Drosophila melanogaster: one gene and its partner. The protein of the gene in region 1 purifies or fractionates together with the protein of each later gene. This does not show direct contact. Each region holds a gene or a part of one and is shown in the gene's direction. Other genes may lie near its edges. The genes, in order: CG14710 and CG43342.

The links.
Region 2: the proteins of CG14710 (region 1) and CG43342 purify together in Drosophila melanogaster (affinity purification with mass spectrometry, with the first as the bait; one large-scale study listed by BioGRID). This does not show direct contact.

Annotation. Positions count from the first base shown.
Region 1 is NT_033777.3:11,618,121-11,622,481, forward strand, and holds CG14710 (uncharacterized protein), read left to right. Parts: upstream 1-1,969; 5' UTR 1,970-2,089; coding exon 2,090-2,224; intron 2,225-2,282; coding exon 2,283-3,025; intron 3,026-3,087; coding exon 3,088-3,333; intron 3,334-3,345; exon of another isoform or gene 3,346-3,394; coding exon 3,395-3,518; 3' UTR 3,519-3,604; downstream 3,605-4,361. Other genes in the region: Zaf1 (ZAD and architectural function 1), read right to left, coding at 3,605-3,824, 3,895-4,029, 4,087-4,361.
Region 2 is NT_033777.3:22,379,457-22,382,832, forward strand, and holds CG43342 (uncharacterized protein), read left to right. Parts: upstream 1-1,883; 5' UTR 1,884-1,972; coding exon 1,973-2,068; intron 2,069-2,128; coding exon 2,129-2,575; 3' UTR 2,576-2,691; downstream 2,692-3,376. Other genes in the region: CG18596 (uncharacterized protein), read left to right, coding at 1-148, 210-357; CG34149 (uncharacterized protein), read left to right, coding at 711-745, 800-1,682; Gpdh3 (Glycerol-3-phosphate dehydrogenase 3), read left to right, coding at 2,769-2,812, 2,874-3,048, 3,107-3,376.

The DNA of each region.
Region 1 (4,361 bases):
TGTGGACACGGCTTTTTTACCGGGAAAACAACAATTTCGGTGTCCGGTGGGCAGGAGTGTGCCCTTAATCACTGGCCACCACTGTGGCAGGGAGTGACGAAGAAACGAGAACGCCGCCATCGACTCCAATTGCAATTACTCATCATCTATCGCGCCAATTATTCGTAATATAATGATAAGTGCGAACCAAAACAGCTGCCAACAGATTTCCTAGTGACTCAAGGAGGTCATTTGGAGCAGGGCTCGCATACTTGGCTAATTTACTCATGGAATCCGCAGATGTGGCAAAGGTCAAGTGCGTAGGAACTAGTTTTCACAAATAGCCAAGGAGTTGATTTTTAAATTTACCGTTTAAAATTAGATTGTTGCTTTATAGCTGGGAAATTATCTATAAATTTCCATGGCATTTTTATGTTACTGGAAATGAAAGAATTCCCTCCTACGGATAGAGGTATATGATCTCAATGCACAATTTACACAATTATTAGGATATGTTCTGATTATAGAGAACTAATCGTAGTAATTTAACACTATAAGATTGCTTATAATGGCTTTAATTTCTGTATATATACCAGGAAGATAAATAGAGAACGACAATTAAACTAAAAACTTCAATTTCTGAGTAATTAGTTTAGAAATTGGAAGGCATTCAATAAAATTAACGATATATAGAGTATCGTAAGGCCCATATTTTATTGATTTACACTTTTGAGTGGGCCCTGTACAGTTTGCCACAGTTTTTCGCCTACTTCAGCTAGTTTGATGGCCGGCACAATGGTGGAGTGATGACCAATTTGAAAACTGGCACAGAGAATGGAAAACACAAAAACAAGCGCCACCTCGGTTGCAGTCATAAAGGCATTAGAAGAGGGGAGCGGTGCGGGGTCAGGGTTCGAGATGTCCATCGGCTGATGTGCTAGATATAGTATGTGATATATGTACGTATGTACATATAATAATGTGGGCGGGGGAGGCAAACTGGCACACTTGCTGACATTGCAGTGTGCACTTAACTAGAACCACCACTGTGCAGTACTCACACACACGCACACAGTCAGAAATGCCCGTGCATGTACTAACTACTCAAAATGGTCATTTTCCCGGTTGCAGCTGTGAGAAGTGAGGTCCTATATTGACAGCGGGGGTTGCCTACGGAGCACACATATCAAATATCGGTTGTTAAGGGCGTTTTCTAACGAGTCCATAACAGACGGGAAATGGAGTTCCGAAATCGAATAGGAATCGTCATCACAATCCTTGCCGATCCAAAACGAACAGTTCACCTAACTGTTAATCCAATAAAAGATCAATACACGCATTGGGCGAATAGAGCTGCGAAAGCGCAAAAGGAGAAGGAATTCGGAACGGAAGTAGGAAGAGAATCCGCGGTGGAAGCACATAATAAAACCAACGGAACGTTAAAAAAAAAAGGAAGAAGCAAAGAACGGCACTCGGTGTTGTTTTTGCAAATCTGCAAATCCCAACCAATACCATCGTGTACACCCACACGCACACATGCACACGCGTAGATTATTTTTCAAATATGCCGGCAACTGCTCTTGGTTTTGATTTGATGTACTTACTTGCTGCTGGCCTGATTATCGGTGCAATCAAAGTTAGAGATCATTTTGCCGCTGTAGCCGCTTATTGGACGATCGGTAACGATTAAATGGAAAACTGGCACACACGTAACAAAGTGAAACACACAAAATGCAAGTGGAAATGCACAGAAAATTGCAGATGCCGCGGCACGTTCGTTCAGTTCGAAAGGCGAATTAAGTGTGGCTGCCGCCGAGCCGCTAAATCACGCCGTCGGCTCGAAAATGAAAGGCACTAAATAATACCACAGATGCAGTGGCGGCGCTATAAATAGTTTGAAGGGGCTTCAGTATTTTTTTTTTAGCTTTTTCGTAGCTGATAGCTAGTTTAGGCTTAATGGTAACTTTAAACTGAAATGTATTTAAAACACTTGTAGGTATTTTTTTCATGGCAAATGCGGTCACACAGCGCAGGTCTAAAATTGTTTAAAACTCATTTAATTGAAATTAGCCTTAATTTCCAGCCCCCTTGCAAAAAAACGCTAGCCAGGATGGCCAGCTTGCCAGTGATTCTGCAATGCAGGATCTGCTTGGGCGATTTCGAAGAGAGCCAAATGATCTGCCTGTTTGGGGATAAAGGCGAAAGTGACCTCAGGAAAAAGTTGGAGCTGTGCTGTAGGATTAGGGTAAATGGAGCTGACCAGATGGGTTATATGTATCATTTCATTACTCCAACTCCCCCAGGTTCGCCAATCCCCGCAGCTGCCCGAGAAGGCCTGCAACAGCTGTTGCGAATTCGTCCAAATGTGGTTCAACTTTCGCCAGATGTGCCTGAACTCGCAGGTCTACTGGGAAACAAGTTCCTCGGAGAGACCAGAGGCTCTTGCCCAGGCAAGCGATGCCGAGTATATGTTGTATCTGTACGAGAACCTACATCTGAAACTAGGCACAGAGAATCAGGAGAAGGAAGAGATCACCGCAATAGAGGAGGGGGATGAACAGCAGGAGGATCAGTCCCAGGAAGTTCTCGATTTTAACGGATTTATCATAAACGAATCGATTGAGGAGGACGAAGAGCCTAATACGGAAAGTCCTGAGCAGATTCTGATTTCCCACATGGACTCCTACGTTGATGATCAACAAATGGAAGAACTCATTGATGATAAGGGTGAGCTTGTCGAGGAATTATCCAATGCAAACACGTTTTATGAGGTTGAGTACGGGGACGAGGAACTTCTCATGTCAAGCGCTCCTTCGCCACATCCCAGCTTCAAAATGGACAAACAAAAGCCGGGAAGGCCTCGCAAACCGGACGCCGAACTGAAATTCAAACGCAAGGATATCAACGCCAAGGAAAGGGGGAACCAGCCAAAGTGCAAGGAAGAGGAGAAGTTCATGTGCATCCTGTGCGGAAACGTCTTTTACAAGAAATCTGTTTTCACGGCCCACATGATGACCCATTCAGAGTACAAGCCCCACCAATGCGAGTAAGTGATATTAAGGTTTAGGAAGGAACAAATTTATCCTACAAAAATGTTATTGCTTTCAGAATATGCAATAAATCTTTTCGACAAATGGGCGAATTGCGAGCACACATCCGTCGTCATACGGGCGACCGTCCATACAAGTGTATGTACTGCGACCGCCACTTCTACGATCGCAGCGAACGGGTCCGCCATGAACGGGTCCACACCAACACGCGTCCTTATGCCTGCCAGGAGTGCGGGAAAACTTTTACGCACACAGCCATCCTCAAAAATCACATCCTTTCGCACTCCGCCCAAAAGAATTACAAGTAAGGGAGAGTAATCCTTTCTAGTGATTTGCACTTTTTATTAATAATTTGAACTTTTCAGCTGTGGTATCTGTTGCAAGTCATTCACTCTGCTGCACCAGCTGAAAGCTCACCTGCAAACGCTAACCCACCGCAACAAAATGGAGCAAACCATTCCCAGCTCTCCGGAAATGTTAGAGAGCTAATATAGTAAATTAATTGAGGAACTAGGGTTATCTATTATAAGTAGTATAAAGCCACTTTTCCAGAATAGACCAGCTATTTTTATTAACTATTCTACCACGTCGCTGTACTCCTTAGCTATCAGACGGTGCGCAAGAGACTTCTCGTGCGCTGTAAGTTGGTGCTTAAGCCGAAATTCTTTTTTACACATAAGACACTTGTGAGACTTTTCAGACGAATGCAGGTAGTAGTGAGCGTTACGAGAGGAGGACAGAGAGAATGTTTTTCCACATATGTTGCAAGCATAGGGTCTTTCATTCGTGTGCAAACTGAAATGAAGAAATTCAACATTGGAACTTAAATGCTGTACACAATATATATAGTTTTTGTCCATTCTACCGTTCGTGCTTGCGATGAGTGCTGTTGTCGGCAAAACGGCGCGAACAGTAGCAACATTGGTAAGGTTTCTCGCCCGTGTGCGTCCGCATGTGTGTTTTCAGGTTGCAGGCGGCTCTGAATGTCTTTTGGCAAACCCTGAATCATACATTTTATATATGAAATATTATGTTAAGATATATCACGGATACTTACTCGCACTGGTGGTCCTTTTCCTTGCGGTGCACCTGCGAGTGTGCATTTAGCTGAGATAAGCAGCGGTATGTATTGCTGCAGATCTTGCATCTGTACTTGTCCGGCTCGCAGGCCACTCCTAGATCTATCACGTAGTCGGCACTTGGCTCTAGATTATGGTAATCCTCGCTTGTCTCTTGAATACTGTCCGTAGCAGCGCTGCTTTCTTGCGAATACGTTTCGGAGTAATTTTGATCGGAGATCTCCCTGTCCAAATCCATATCACTGATGGTATA
Region 2 (3,376 bases), about 11 Mb from region 1:
ACATACTTGAAGTGAATCCAGAATCGCTTGCTGGATTTCTGCTGGAAAAGCAAATGGAGGGTTATAAAATCGTTGGCGCCGAGCAAACTGCACACAGCACAAACTTTGTTGACTTTAAGTTTCCCAAGAAAAGCATTCTTCTTTTGGGGTTCGTAATCAACATCTTGGGCGTATTTTTTGAAAACTTATTGTTCTGCATCCCTCCTCAGGCATGAAAAACATGGAATACCAGCGAACCTTATTGGATTCTTGGACTACGCCGTCGAAATTCCCCAGTATGGCTTAGTGCGCTCTCTAAATGTACATGTGGCTGGATCACTATTTATTTGGGAATATTGTAAGCAGCACTTAAATTAAATTCATAATTTGACCACCAACAAATGCCTTTAACAAATAAAGTAAATACCTAAAAATATTGTACAAATGTTACTATATAAATGTTTTGTGTTGTATATATCTTAAAAAAAATACACCCAAAATAAATTACCTATATAAACTTAATTGTACTAGCTATTAGTATTATTTCTATTTTTTTAAATGTGTTTGTTTGCCTTCGGTGAATTAATCGAAGTAAATATAATTCATTCTCTTAAAGTTTCGCGCCTTGTTATCGATAACCAGTATTTACCGATGACGCTTGCCTGAAACAGCTGATCCTATAATCACAACATCACAACAAACCCATTGTAAACAACTTCGAAAAGACGAAAATGAGCTTCTCGGAAAACACCTCCGATTCTGAATGGTAAGTCCTTGAGGCCGGAAACTCTCAAATTCTATACGAATGCTTCGCTTATAGGAAGACAGACAAAATGCTAAAGGCGCGGACTGCTAAGAAATCTTTAAAGCTGGACAAGGAGCACAGAACTCTGAAACCTAAATATAACCAGAAGTTCTGCGAAAAGTGGCTCAAGATTTTCGATCCATGGCTCCGACGGGCGGCCGAGGATCCTAACAAGCCATTCTGCCGCGCTTGCCAGTGCACCATGGACTGCAATCGATGCCACCTGGTGCGGCACGAGCGAACCACCAAGCACAAGCGCAATCTGGAGGCTCTGCTCACAAAGGGCGAAGGCGCGGCGGTCCAGGAGTTCCGGATTCGCCAGCAGCGTAGCAAGTACTATCACCAGCGTAAATTGGTAGTGATGGAGCCCTTGGCTGAGAACCACGAGTTGGAGCCGCCTTCCACTCCAGAGCCTATGCCCGTGATGGCCATTGCTGATCAAAGCCTCTGTTCTGCAGCCAGTGAGAAGGTGACAGTACCCAAACAGGAGTTCTTATCAGAGACAGAGGTCACAACAAAGATGACCGAACCCCCGTCAAGCCATGCCAATTGCAGTGACAGCTCCTCTTCTGCCTCTAAGCAGGAGGGCATAAAGTTACTAATGCAGATCCACCAGGACAAAAACGAACTCATGGAATCCTTCCGCGAGCTGATGGGAAGCCAGAGGACCCTAAGTCACACACCGCCGCCCAAGGAGAAGAATCATGTGGATCTGTTTTTCGAAAGCGTCAGTTCCAGCGTGAAAGCCCTCTCGCCAAAGTTGGTAGCGGAAGCCAAGATGCGAGTATCGCAGCTGATCTGTGAGCTCGAGCTTCGCGGCCTCAGTGAAACCAGCCAAACGGACGCACTGAATCCAAACCCTCAAGCTAATGAATCGCTCGCACTGCGCCCATCATGACAATCCCTTGTCCTTCAGCATGAATTTAGAGGCATACATTAATTTTAAATTTAAAAATAAATGTTATCGATTTTTATAAGATCAATGCAAATATACTTTATTTGTTAGATATACGAATCAAACTATTCAAAATAGGTGCGAGAAATGGTATCGGACTGTTTATCGATAGGCTAGAGGCTACTGCTACTGCCATCTCCAAAGCGCGGCTGTGTTTTCTTCCAATGTTTATTAAATTTGAAGCAGCTAATGCAATTTAAAGGCTTAAGTGACAAAATATTCATAACATAAGAATGTGGAACACTTCAAATGTGTATGATGAAACGACCTCTGAAAATGGCGACAACGAAGAGCAGAAAGCTTCATACATTAAAGAAGATCATATAGAGGTATAATTACTAAGTTGCCCTTAAATTTACAAATATTTAAACGAAATTATGCATTTGCAGACCGAGAGGAAAAGTTTGCTACTCATCAAACGGAACAACGTAGCCCTACAGAAAAGACAGCTACCCTACTCAAGGCCAACGCCGCAGAACCGCCAGGAACTTGTCGAGAGCATCGAACAAGACCGTAAAGTGCTGTCGGCGTACTTCAAAAGGTTGAGCTCCCAGCGAGATGAAGTCACTTCACCAAATGCAGCTCCACCGGCGGCTGATTCCCCTGTTCCTCAGAGAAACAGCTACGATCTTTTCTTTGAGAGCGCCTGCATCAGTGTCAAAGGCTTGCCACCCAAACTGGCGGCGGAAGCCAAGAGCCGCATCTCCCAGATAATCACCGAGTTCGAAATCCGCGCCATATCAGAAATGGAGGCCCAGCAGGAGCACAAAATGCGGGCCCAGAACAGAATGGATAATGCGTCCGGGGTTGTTTACGAGTTTCGTCCCTGCTCGTAAAGTAGGTTGGGTGTTTGCCTTTCAACTACCTTAACTCATCCTATACACTTCACATTTGGACGCCACCTAACTCTGGACTATCAAAATTCATAATAAAAATTTAAAGCATTCTACATCCAGTTAACACTTAGGCGGTCATTTGGTCGCGTTTCGGCCCTAAATTATTGTTGTTCGTTAATTTAAAGTTGGATCAATGGCCGGAAAGTTGAAAATATGCATCATTGGGGCTGAGGGCTGGTAAGTTCTTTCAATTACCAAGTCTAAAACACATTTAACTGCTTTCAAATGGCTTTTCTAGGGGCTCGGCCATTGCCGCCGTCGTGAGCAACAATGTCTTGGAGGGAGACTTCGACAGCCGGGTGCATTTATATGTCTACGATGAAATGATTCGGGACACTGCCCTATCGGAGATCATAAACACTCGTCACGAGAATGTCAAGTATCTGCCTGGGATCAAGCTGCCCAATAACCTGGTAAGGAAATTCTTGCAGTGTTTTGGTATCTGCATTATACAAAATATTTTTGTATTAGATCGCTGTAAATGATCTTTTGGAAGCTGCCCAGAACGCAGATATCTTGGTATTTTCCACCCCGCTGGAGTTCGTGCAATCCTACTGCAACATTCTGTCTGGTAATGTTAAGGAGTCGGCCTTTGCTGTTTCCATGACCAAAGGATTGTTGAGCGAGAATGGGGAGGGGATTGAGCTTGTTTCGCACGCCATTAGCGAGAGTCTGGGTATCCCGTGCTACTCTATGATGTCTGCACATAGTGCCATGGAGATGGCACAGGGAAAGCTGTGT